Linked DNA regions of Cricetulus griseus. The protein of the gene in region 2 purifies or fractionates together with the protein of the main gene of each other region. This does not show direct contact. Links are inferred from orthologs where the notes say so. Each region holds a gene or a part of one and is shown on either strand. Other genes may lie near its edges. The genes, in order: Gadd45b, Map3k4 and Gadd45a.

Evidence for each region.
Region 1: the proteins of Map3k4 (region 2) and Gadd45b purify together in Homo sapiens (co-immunoprecipitation; 3 studies listed by BioGRID and IntAct, counting the BioPlex papers as one, with this or other methods). This does not show direct contact. The link is inferred for Cricetulus griseus from reciprocal best matches to the Homo sapiens genes MAP3K4 and GADD45B.
Region 3: the proteins of Map3k4 (region 2) and Gadd45a purify together in Homo sapiens (co-immunoprecipitation; 3 studies listed by BioGRID and IntAct, with this or other methods). This does not show direct contact. The link is inferred for Cricetulus griseus from reciprocal best matches to the Homo sapiens genes MAP3K4 and GADD45A.

Annotation. Positions count from the first base shown.
Region 1 is NC_048598.1:101,711,116-101,715,311, forward strand, and holds Gadd45b (growth arrest and DNA damage-inducible protein GADD45 beta), read left to right. Parts: upstream 1-1,559; 5' UTR 1,560-1,812; coding exon 1,813-1,856; intron 1,857-1,947; coding exon 1,948-2,049; intron 2,050-2,485; coding exon 2,486-2,708; intron 2,709-2,979; coding exon 2,980-3,093; 3' UTR 3,094-3,655; downstream 3,656-4,196.
Region 2 is NC_048595.1:288,728,784-288,732,408, forward strand, and holds part of Map3k4 (mitogen-activated protein kinase kinase kinase 4), read left to right. Parts: intron 1-1,534; coding exon 1,535-1,651; intron 1,652-3,134; coding exon 3,135-3,234; intron 3,235-3,318; coding exon 3,319-3,402; intron 3,403-3,625. UniProt on the Homo sapiens protein: Component of a protein kinase signal transduction cascade. Activates the CSBP2, P38 and JNK MAPK pathways, but not the ERK pathway. Specifically phosphorylates and activates MAP2K4 and MAP2K6.
Region 3 is NC_048601.1:76,185,661-76,189,724, forward strand, and holds Gadd45a (growth arrest and DNA damage-inducible protein GADD45 alpha), read left to right. Parts: upstream 1-1,190; 5' UTR 1,191-1,359; coding exon 1,360-1,403; intron 1,404-1,487; coding exon 1,488-1,589; intron 1,590-1,684; exon of another isoform or gene 1,685-1,704; coding exon 1,705-1,942; intron 1,943-2,844; coding exon 2,845-2,958; 3' UTR 2,959-3,548; downstream 3,549-4,064. UniProt on the Homo sapiens protein: In T-cells, functions as a regulator of p38 MAPKs by inhibiting p88 phosphorylation and activity.

The DNA.
Region 1 (4,196 bases), on a different chromosome or scaffold from region 2:
GAAAAAGGAAAGAAAAAGAAATACCTATTGCAAGTGTTCTCGCCCCCTCCCTTTCCGGAAGCTGCGCGCGCAGAGACCTCATGAGGCCGCCAGGTGTCGCCGGTGGGCCTCTCACGCCAGGGACATTTCGCGCGCTAGGTGGGCGGCGCAGAGGAGGCGCGATGCGTCACCGGACCCGGGGGCCGGGGATCCGGGGGAACCGAGCTGCGCGGCCGAGGCCAGGCCCCAGGCTGGCGGAGGAGAGGACGCGTTGTGAATCACCGGGAGCCCCCGTGCACCGTGGGAGAGTCCCACGCGGGATCCGCCCGCCCGCCCGCCCGCCTCGTGTCCTTGCTGTCTGGCTCTGCAACCAGCAACCATAGTGTAGCTCTGAAGAGAATACCCTCGGAAGCCTCAGTTTCTCTTTTGCATAATGCAGCTATCAGTCCCTTTGCTTGCCTAACGTTGTACAAGATAAATGGCACGCGTGGCAGAAGGGGCCCGCGGCTCATGTTGCGCACTGCAAAAATGCCAGGAACAAAAGAGCGGCTGCCATCCAGCCACCATGTCCCAGGGGGCAGCATACTTTCGCTTTGCCTCGGTTTCCCCGCAAGGGTCAGGTGTCAGAGGCTAGACCGTGAGGCAGCCGGCAGGGGGCGAGCCGCTCCGCAGAGCGCCTGCAGGTCTCTTCACCTGCGCCTCCCACGCGCACCCCACCCTGAAACTCTCGGGGTGCCGGGAGAAAGGGTTCCTTATCTCTCTTTCCCAGCGATCCCTTAGTGCTCTGCAGCTCTGGCCTCCGCGGTGATCCCTAAGCCACCTACCGAGGCCGCCAGGTAGCTGTAGCTTTTTGGGTGACCCCTCCCCGCCCCCTGCGCGGGGGGGGGGGCAGGCATTCTCAAAGCACGGTGGCGGTGTAGGGTGCCTCGTAGCTCTCACTTTGGGGTGAAGATCCCAGTGTCCTTACTAAGCGCTTACTGTATACCCTGGACGTGATTTAGATCCCTCTCCAACCTTACAAGGCGGGGATTGCGTTGGCTCGAGAAGTTCAGTTACCTAAGGTCCAGGGTCTCCAAAGATGGGCAAGACCCCCCCCAACGCACAAAAAGTTGCCATCCTGGGAGGCATCGGGCTGCAGACGGGGTCCTCGGGCCCCATGCACAGCCCTTTCCAGAGCAGTGCCTGGGAAAGGCTGGGGGACTCTCCGGGGACAGGGAGGGGATTCCAGACAGCCCTCCCCGAAAGTCCAGGCCAGACTCGCGCGCTGGAAACCCCGCGCGCGGCCTGCGTAGCGCGGCTGCCGGGAAATCAGGAGAGAAACTTCTGTTTTTTTGTGTCTGCGTGTGTGGTTTTTTCTCTCTCTCGCTCGCTCGCTTTTCTGGCACTCAGGGCTGCTCCGGTTTGCCCTCCTCCCAGCCCTGACCCCCACGTGGGGCAGTCTGCTCTTGAGCTCCGCCTTTTCAACCACCAGCCAATCACAGCGCGGTGCACTCAGCTCTTTGTGTATACACCAATGGGAGGACGGCGTAGGCCTCCAGAGGCCACGCCCCCAAACCGAGAGTTTATATAAAGCGGCTCCCGGCGGCCGCGCGCTCACTCCCTTGCAGCCCGGGTCCTGTGTGCATTCTGATTCTTGGATTAATTTTCGTGGGGATTTTGCAACCTTTTTTTCTCTCTTGCTTTTTTCTTGGGAAGGGAAGTCCCGCCGCCTCCGGAAGACTTTGGAAGCTTCTGATCGCACGGAAAGGTGTTTTTCCCCTTGGGTTGAGTCTGGGCTCATACTTCGCCCTTGGGGACCTTTCGTGGGGGTCCGCTGTGGAGTGTGACTGCATCATGACGCTGGAAGAGCTGGTGGCGAGCGACAACGCGGCTCAGAAGTGAGTACAGCGGGGACCCGAGGTCTCTCCCGCAGCCTGAGGTTGGCCGAGCTGTCATCGGCTAATCGCCTCCTCTCCCTTGGCCTCTTAGGATGCAGGCGGTGACCGCCGCGGTGGAACAGCTGCTGGTGGCCGCGCAGCGTCAGGATCGCCTCACCGTGGGGGTGTACGAGGCGGCCAAACTGATGAATGTGTGAGTCAGCACGCCCCTTTCCCGGGCGTAGGTGGGGGCGCCCCTCTGATGCACTCACGCTCCCATCACCCCTGTAGGGCACAGGTCTTTGGGGGACTTTCCCAGTGCTCTCTGCATTGGGGAGTGGAGAGCGACATTTCTCTGGGAACTTATTTTTTGGGGGGATAGAGACTCGCTGCAGAACCCTGACATTGCAAGTTTGAGGTTTTGTTTTTTGTTTTGACAAGACAGCCTCAGTAACTTTGAGCCATGCCCCCTCCCCCACCGCCATCAGAATTTGCATAGTTGATCACCCCAGCAACCGTGCAGCGCTGGGGGGGAGGTTGTTCTTGCACCTTTAGTCTTGTCCACACCTCTCCCGCCTGAGGTCCCCGAGCTCGTGCACGATGCCATCCTTCCAGCTCTGGCCTCCCCTGACACCCCCTTTCTCCTGCAGGGACCCTGACAGTGTAGTCCTGTGCCTCCTAGCCATAGACGAAGAGGAGGAAGATGACATCGCCCTGCAGATCCACTTCACACTGATCCAGTCGTTCTGCTGTGACAATGACATTGACATCGTCCGGGTATCCGGTATGCAGAGGCTGGCACAGCTCCTGGGCGAGCCCGCAGAAACCCTGGGCACCACTGAGGCCCGAGACCTGCATTGCCTCCTGGTCACGGTGAGCCCGGTCTCTCTCTGTCTCTCCCTGCCCCACCCTGCCTGCCCTGGGCACCTAGATCCCGTGTTTGTCAACATAGCTGGGCTGGCTGGTCCAACACCAGCTCACTGCCCAGCCACGCTAGGCATGTCCCGTGGGCTGCCTCATCACCCTGGCAGCTATTTTGAGCCAGCCTGTTTTTCACCAAAGGGGCCCCTGGGCGCCAGAGGGCGGTTCCCTACCGAACTCCTAGAGCTCCCACTAAACCCTTCCTTTTTGTCCCCCTCCACAGAACTGTCACACAGATACCTGGAAAAGCCAAGGCTTGGTCGAGGTGGCCAGTTACTGTGAGGAGAGCAGAGGCAATAACCAATGGGTCCCTTATATCTCTCTGGAGGAACGCTGACACTCTACAAACATCTAAAGCAACTGTTGAGTTGCTGTCCCGTAAAAAAATTAAATAAAATACATATTTGACCCCCCCCTCATCCCCAAGAACAATCCCTCAAAAGCCACCCTACCCGTGAGACCTTCCGGGAGGGGCGGAGTCACCGCGACTGAGATGAGAGGGGAGTGCGCGCCCGCCCGCCGGCTCTCTGGGCGGTGGAACCGGAGCAGCACCGCAGGTGGTCGCCGAGACAGGAAGGAGGGGAGCCCAGGCCGGAGGAGGAGCCCGGGGCGTTGGAGCCCGGGCCTGGGGATCCTGCAGCCAGCCTCTGCACGCAGCCGCAGCGGGGAGCGCCGAGGGTCTGCACTCGACGCCGCAGGCAGGGGCGAGGCGTCCGGACCCTGCGGGACAGTGAACTGTGCACGGCGGAAGAGGCGACCGTAGCCGCGGGAGCCGGGACGACCCCGGGACTGCGACTCTGACACGAATCTATTTTGTTATTGCGCTGAGCAAGGCAGGTCGCTTGCGTATTTTTTTAAGTTTCTACTACAGAGACATTCTAATAAACTCGTTAAGCCTCCGGGTCCTCGTGTGCTTCCCTCCTTCGCCCGCCCTCCGGTCGCCCCAGGTGTGGCCCTGTGTCGCGCCGCGGCCACCCGGCCTCGTCCGCAGCTCTGAGCGCGTAGCTCTAGACACTGCTGCTCTGCCGCAGGCGCCGCCACCCAGCTCCGGCTTCGCAGCAATTAAGAGGGTTTATTACGAAACCTGGCGGCCCAGCCCCCCTGTTACCCGCAGGGCTGGAGCCGAGGCCCTGGGTCGGCGCACTGGGAAAGGGACCGCACTCCCCCTCCCACCCCACGACCCAGACCAGAGACGCTGTGAGGGCGCCTGAGGCCACACAGCAAGGGGTCTTTGTGGGGTGGGACTCTCGATCTCCCCTGGGGGCGCACCCTTTTTCTCATGCACCCAAGCTCTCCTTCCTGGGATGGGCCTTGTGGATGCACAAAAGGAAAAGAATGTTTTTTTCATTCTTTCCCCGAGCTAAAATCAACAGTAGGAAAGCACCCTTGGTACACTCTGCATCCTGTCCCAAACCGAAACCGCATGCTCCCTGGGCTCTC
Region 2 (3,625 bases):
GCCACTTCCACTCCAGGTTCAGGCAGGGTGGAACCACGAAACTCCTCCTCAGCTGGCACAGGTGCTCCTCATCTTTGCCTTTGGATGCCCCTGGTCTGGATTTCCTGTCCCCTTTCCATCTCTCTGTGTACTCCATCATTCCTTGTGTACACAGCTCTCAGTCCCCTGTTCCTGTCCAGATCCCCTACCCCCACTTACTCTCAGCATCAGCTGTGTTAGGCAGTCTGTCAGTCAGACTGTTTCCTGGGGAACGCTCAGCAGCCCCCTGTCAGGAAGAACACCCAAGCAGTGGGAGATGGGGCTGCATACAGTCGGCCTTCTCATCCAGTGTGTGTCCTCATCTCCCGGACTGCACACTGTGTAGCCACAGCAGTCCCTTCCATGCTCACAGGCTGGGCAGGTGAAGCTCACTGCCCCAAATGGACTACTCGTCCCAGTGATTTTCATGACTAACTCATTTCCCCACTTCCTGCAGATCTTTGTCCATGTGCTGCCCTCCTATCACACTCAGAAGCTCTTACCCACTCAGGATTTCATTTTTTGTTTGTTTCTTCTATCCGTAAAGGGCTTTTGTCTCTTAACTTCATTGCTGCCCAGTAGCTTTTAAATAAATGCATCCTGATGTTTTATATAATATTCTTAAAATCCTTTTCTGGTCAAATCTCCTTCCTACTCAGCCCACCTGCTTTGATGGCCATGTGCTTAAACTAGTTATCATGGTAGCCAGGCCCTGCAGAGTACAGCCTGACCTCATTTGCTTCGGAGTCTCTTCAGGCTTTGCAGCCTGAACAACTCTCTCTGCTCCTTTCAGGTCAGATGCTTTGCTTTTTCCAGGTGTGCCTTCATACCTTAGTCCAGTTCAAGTTCCTTGTCTTTCCTAGAACCCCCTACCCCCACCCCCTGTCTTCTCTCTGAAGATCCACCCATTCCCCTTTGGATGACCCTGCTGACATTCAGTCTTTACCAGGATCAGGGCTTTCTGCCCATGAGAGGCTTTGCTGCCAGCTTGCTTTGGTCTCCTCATCTGATACCCTGTGTTCCCCACCATTTGATGGTTGTATACTTACCACTCTCTTTCTCTACCTTTCATCAATAGTGAAGGTTTATCACAGTCATTACCTCACTCTGTGTGCTTGTCTGTTCATTAATACTAGTGTTTAAATGGTCTGTTCATTGAGAAATTCAGGTGTGGAGTATTTGTCTTCAACAGCTGTAAGAGCTAACCTCAAGGGGAAGTTTAAAACCATCTGTGTTTCAGGAGTTTGCTTTTTCCAGCCTATCATTTGGGTTTTTTGAGGCATTTCATACCATCATGAACATTTAAGCAATAACAATGTAGAATCACATAGCTACTGCATACAATTTGCCGCTATGGTTTATACTCAATGTCATGTAATAGAACAAAGGTGGGTTGTGTTATCTAGGTTTCTGTTTCTCATCTGTCATGTGCTAAGAGAAAACTCCTGTTGATTTGGAACTGTTGCGATGACAGCTGATTTTCCTTCTGCTTTGCTGTTTGTCCCCGTCCCCCCAGCGACATTGCAGGGATGCTACTAAAATCCACAGGGAGCTTTCTGGAATCTGGCCTGCAGGAGAGCTGTGCAGAGCTGTGGACCAGTGCCGATGACAACAGTGCTGCCGATGAGCTAAGGTTGGCACCACACTGGCTTTCTGTCTTACTGCAGGAATCATACTTCCCCATGGGCTTCCAGAGATCTTTGTTCAGACTGGTTTGTGATGGACCTCTGGGGGTGTGAGTGGGGACACGAATGACATGAGGAGGAGGCATTGTTAGTGGTCTCCTGGTTGTGCCTTTACATGGAAAAAGAAAAACTTTAGAGACAAACTTCGACTTTAACATGATAAAAATATAATGGATATTAACTGAAAATGGCCATAGCAACAGTCTGTACCCATGTTTTCCTAGAGTGTCTTTAAATGTTACGTTTTTGTCCGTTAAACTCCTGTAGCACATGCTACCTTTTAATGCCATTTGGCACCTTTCTGTTGTTTATGCTTGGCTTATCCCTTCTGTTGAACATTCGGGTAAATGCATGAGCCATGACTCACCTGTGGAATTCCCTCCAGTGTCATGCAGATGCCACTGATCCATTGGATTGCACCCACTGTGTGTGTGTGTGTGTGTGTGTGTGTGTGTGTGTGTGTGTGTATGTGTGTGTGTGTGTGTCTCAGTGTGTGTCTCAGTGTGTGTCTCAGTGTGTGTCTGTATGATGTCTGATGTGTCTCTGTGTGTTGTCTGTGTGAGTGTATCTCTATGTATATCTGTCTGTATTCTGTGCGTGTGTCTGTATATGTGTATTCTCTGTGTGTATCTGTGTGTCTCTCTGTGCATATCTGTATGTGTATTTGTCTGTGTTGTAAGGTGTTGCCCATAGAACCATTTTGTGGCCATCTGTCTATCAGGTGCAACACTGGTCAGTCTGTACAGTGCATGTTCAGAGCTAAGGCATTTTACTCACTGACCAAAATCTGGTGAAGAGCAGTTGGGTTTCAGAACATCTGTATATAGACGTTCCCACCAAACTGGTAAACACTGATGGCTGAGACACCCAGTGAGCCTTTGTATTTTGAGTTACAATGTAAAGTCCACATGAGACTTAAAGAATGGAGGCAGTAAACTAGGTAGCAGCTCTTTGATAGCTCCCCTCATATGCCAGGGATGTGGAAGGGCCTTTGTGTGCCACCAGGCCTGCTCCATGGTGTCCCACTTCTGTGACCAGCACTGTGCCACACAAGTCAGCACGAGCCTCCAGGTGGTCCTAGGGGTACTAGCTGTATTCACTACACTGGGTGTGTGTTTTTTTTCAATTACTATGAGCTCTTAAACTCCAAGAACTTGTCACAGCAATGTCTAGAAAACTAAACATACCATGATTTGAGGGGTATTTGATGTTCCCTGTATATATGGAATATTCAAGTCCTTTCTGCCAAACCTGGAGGATCAAGCTCCCAGTACTGTGGCCACAATCCTGGTAACTGCTTGTTCCCATTGATGAAATTAACAGGTGCTATTTGTTGTTGTGATTTGAAATCTGCTGCATGTCTGTTACTAGCATGTCTGTGCTTAAACTCTGGTGGCCCCACGTGAACTAACTGAACTTCACCCCTGGCAGGAGGTCTGTCATAGAGATCAGCCGAGCACTCAAAGAGCTCTTCCACGAAGCCCGGGAGAGGGCCTCCAAGGCGCTGGGCTTTGCAAAGATGCTGAGGAAGGTGAGTCCACCAGCCTGGCTGCTGCTGCCTTTCTCATCTTGATCCTAAAGCCGATCCTAAGAGGCTTCTCTTCTGTGATCCTAGGACCTGGAAATAGCTGCAGAATTCGTACTGTCTGCCTCGGTCCAAGAGCTCCTGGACGTCCTGAAAGCAAAGCAGTATGTCAAGGTGAATCCCATGGTGTTCCTGGAGCCCTTCGTGTCCCTGCATTCTAAACAGGCTGTGGAGGCCGCACACTGACTGGACATGTTCCCAGAAGAACACACATTTTCAAGTTAGCCTTCTTATAAATGCAGGCAAAGAATCAACCACAGTGCACACTGGTTATTAATTTAGTTATGCATATTTAAAGTAGTGACTACAATAGTGGATACAAACGATATTACTGACT
Region 3 (4,064 bases), on a different chromosome or scaffold from region 2:
AATAAGCACTGTTATGAATTCAAACAGATGAGAGGCAATTTTGTTACTTCAGTTGGATCAGGCAATGCTTTTGTATTTATCAAATAAGCTCATAAAACAAAGGGACTTTTGAAGTACTCAGTAAAAGTCTACATTAAAAATTGTTTTTAATGTGTGACTCCTGCTTGCAGTTATGAAGGTTTGCCTTCCACCTACAAGTTGCCATTATCTCAAAGGTGAAATTTTAGCACATGGCTAAAATGTTCTATAGTTACAGCTTCATGATTCAGCATCAGTAATTCAGAGTGAGATCATAGGCAGTGGAAGGTGGTGTCATACTCTTTTGCCTGTGAAGGGGCGACCAGGGAATGGCATAAGCATATTGAATTTAGACTGTGGCTCCTGTGAGTACCACAATTTGTCTCTCAGCTCTTGCCTGATCAGAAGGTGCCCTCGGGAAAGATTTTAAGAATGGTAAATTTGGCTCATTAGGCATGTTGATCACCAGCTCCCCCCACCCACCTTATATGGAGTGGGCAGAAGTTTTATCAGCTTTTCGTGGAAAAGATTCCAACTTGGTACCGTGCCATCACCACACACCAGTGTGCTGGGTTTTCTATTTGGAGCTTCAAATTCTTGCACCCAACCAAAAATAAATCAAGCCAGCCATCAGGGCACCAAAAGAATACTACTGTGAAAAATCAGCATTGCCTGAAACTTAACATATAAACAACACTTCTGAAGCAAGTTTTGCGTGGCACATCCGGACACTTTAAAAATACCATCTGCTTACTAATAACAGCTACACCAGGGTGCATTAACCCTGGAAATAAATTGTAAAATCAGCCCCTTAACACAAACAACACGAGACGACCATCAAAAGATCTCCACAACTAGAAAAACAATTGGCAGGCTGTTTTCAGTACGAGCTGAGGACACTGGAACCACCGCAAAGCCCTCCTCACCAGATGGCTCCACCAACTCCCAGAGCTGGCTCAGGACCCCGCCAACCCGGTTTCTGCACCACTCTCATCCCTGGGGGCTTCCCTCCCGCGTAGCTCCGCCCCCTTCCGCTCAACTCTGCCTGGGCTGGTGGAGTTAGGGTCTGAGTGTCAAAGTCTGCTAATTTGCATAAGCCAATGGGTGCATTGCATGCAAATGAGGCGGGCCCTGATTGGCTGACGGCTAGCCCCATAACTCCGGAATCGGGGGCCTTTGTCCTCCAGTGGCCCGGAGGAAGCTGTGCAGTCCTCACCTACCGAGACTTAGGCGAGAAGCGGCGAAGCGGCGGGTGGGAGCCGAGCGAGCGCGGGGCTGGCGCCGCGCACTGGGGGGGGCAGGAGCAGCCCGCGCGCCGCGTGAGGGACTCGCACTTGCAATATGACTTTGGAGGAATTCTCGGCCGCAGAGCAGAAGACCGAAAGGTAAGTGTGCCTGCGGACTCTGTGGCCGCTGCCCCTCCCGCCGTCGGGGACCCGGCTGACCCACTCTCGCCCTGCCGCCCGCAGGATGGACACGGTGGGAGATGCCCTGGAGGAAGTGCTCAGCAAGGCGCGGAGTCAGCGCACCATCACCGTCGGCGTGTACGAGGCCGCCAAGTTGCTCAATGTGTAAGTGGTCCCGGCCGCCCGCGCCCCTGCCTCCCGCCCGCCCCCCCGCCCGCCGCCCGCCTCTACCCCGAGCTCCCTGGACAGTGTGCACTCACCGCTGCCCCGCTGTCCGCAGCGACCCCGACAACGTGGTACTGTGCCTGCTGGCTGCAGACGAGGACGACGACAGGGACGTGGCTCTGCAGATCCATTTTACCCTCATCCAGGCGTTCTGCTGCGAGAACGACATCAACATCCTGCGGGTCAGCAACCCGGGCCGGCTGGCTGAGCTGCTGCTGCTGGAGAGCGACGCGGGCCCGGCGGAGAGCGGGGGTGCCTCGCAGCCCCCTGACCTGCACTGCGTGCTGGTGACGGTAAGGGACCCGGGGCTGCAGCCCGGAATCTGTTGGGATAGACCTCGGCAGTGCTAGACGCTGATCTCGCGGGGGTTCTGATGGTACCGAGCGTGTCTAAGCTCGTGGGTGGCCTCCAGCGGCGGAAGATAGCCCTGTGAGTCAGCAGGCTGCCCAGCTACCTCTGCCTACCTCTGCACTACCTCGCGTGACTAATTCTCAGAGCAGGACAGATTAGATAAAGCCAAATAAATTCCCGGCTCACCCTTCATTAAGAAGTCAGCTTCATTCTTCATTTGCTCTCAAAGCTAAATATAGAAATAGAGTAGGAGACAGACCTTATTAATTCGCTGGAGATACTCTGGTGTGTACAGAGTGGAATTCTTTTCTCTGAACCTTTGTATTTGTTTAGATGAGCCCCCCCCCCCACGCACACACACACACAAACACACGCCCTTTAAAAATTTCTGGTTGAATAATGTTTTCAGAGAGAAATGTGCTGTCTTGGTCTTCTGTTTTTTTGTTTTTGTCCTTTCTCTGCCTTGACTGGTGTAGGCAAGTGGCACCCTGATTACTTTTGCTGCCAGTGAAAAGTGCCATTCATCACCAGGGAAGATAAGAGTGAAGCTAAGCTGCCTGCCCTGCAGCTTTCACATGGTGTGCGAGAATGTTTTCAGAGCTATTTTACTTATGACCCTACTAGGGTGCATGCTTGATAGGTTCAACTTATGAATGATAACCTCATGCAGAATGGTACAGATAATTATGCAAAACTCTGTGGCCCAGTGTGCATTACAGGTGTTTAGATCTTGCCAAATGCTACTTAACAGAATGCTCAGGTTTTGGCCCTTTCAAAAGTAGTACAATTAGTAGCATAAGCTGATGATTTTATGGAAAAGTAATTTTTCTAAATTTGTTCTTAGAACCCACATTCATCACAGTGGAAGGATCCTGCCTTAAGTCAACTTATTTGCTTTTGTCGGGAAAGTCGCTACATGGATCAGTGGGTTCCAGTGATTAATCTCCCCGAACGGTGATGGCATCTCAATGGAAATAACTGAACCAAATTGCACTGAAGTTTTGAAATACCTTTGTAGTTACTCAAGCAGTTACTCCCTACGCTGATGCAAGGATTACAGAAACTGATGTCAAGGGGCTGAGTGAGTTCAACTACATGGGGGCTAGGAGATGACTTTGCAGATGGACAGAGGTGAAAATAAAGAAGGAAGCTGTGTTGAAACAGAAATCTAAGTCAAAAGGGACAAAAACTACAAAGAACTGTGCAAGAAAGAAAACTGTTGATTTAGGATGGCTGAGTTACATTAAATAAGCCAAATATTGCTTTGTTGAAACCTTAAATGTGTAGCAATAGTTTGTTTTTTTTTTGTATTTGTTTTTTGGTTTTTTTGTTTGTTTGTTTTTTGATCTTTATGCCCTCAAGTAAAAGGAAAGTGAAAAGGATTAATTGTATTTTAAAGCTACAGGTTAATGTATTTTGATGAGATGTTAAATTCTCAGAAATTTTATTATAAATCGGACTAAGTTATTTTATGATATGAAAGGTTATTTATGATAAAGTTTTTGAAGCACAATATCTAAAATAAACTGGTATGGAATAATTGCATCATTTTCACTGTGTGGTTTGTGTTGTGCAACATTGACTATTAACAGACATTTCATTGAAGCCTTGCTTTACACTAGGCAGAAAAATGGGTGATTTTAGAGGGCTTGGATAAGGGAAAAAAATGTTTACGGATTCCCCTTGCAAAGTTTGAATAACTACAATTAGTTATTTTAATGCTACAAAAATGCATGCAAAATGTAGAAGCAGAGAGGAGGGCAACCAGGGCCACTTGGAAGATTAGTGGAGCTTTTGCTGAGGAGAAATCATTTTCTTGGGGTCTTAAGAAATAACCTTAATTTCTCTAGTTAGAGAGAGGAAAGGGATGTTGCTAACAGCAGTTTGTGCAGAGGTGTGGAGGCCTGAAAGATCACAGCCTGCATAGAGACTGACTCTGCATGCCTCTGGTGTAGAAAGATAAGAGAGAGAGGGCTGGAAAGAGTAGGTGGGGGGGTAGGTTCAGACTCTGACAGGCATTCTCGTATCATTTTTACGTATTTGAACTTTCCTCTGTAAATTGGC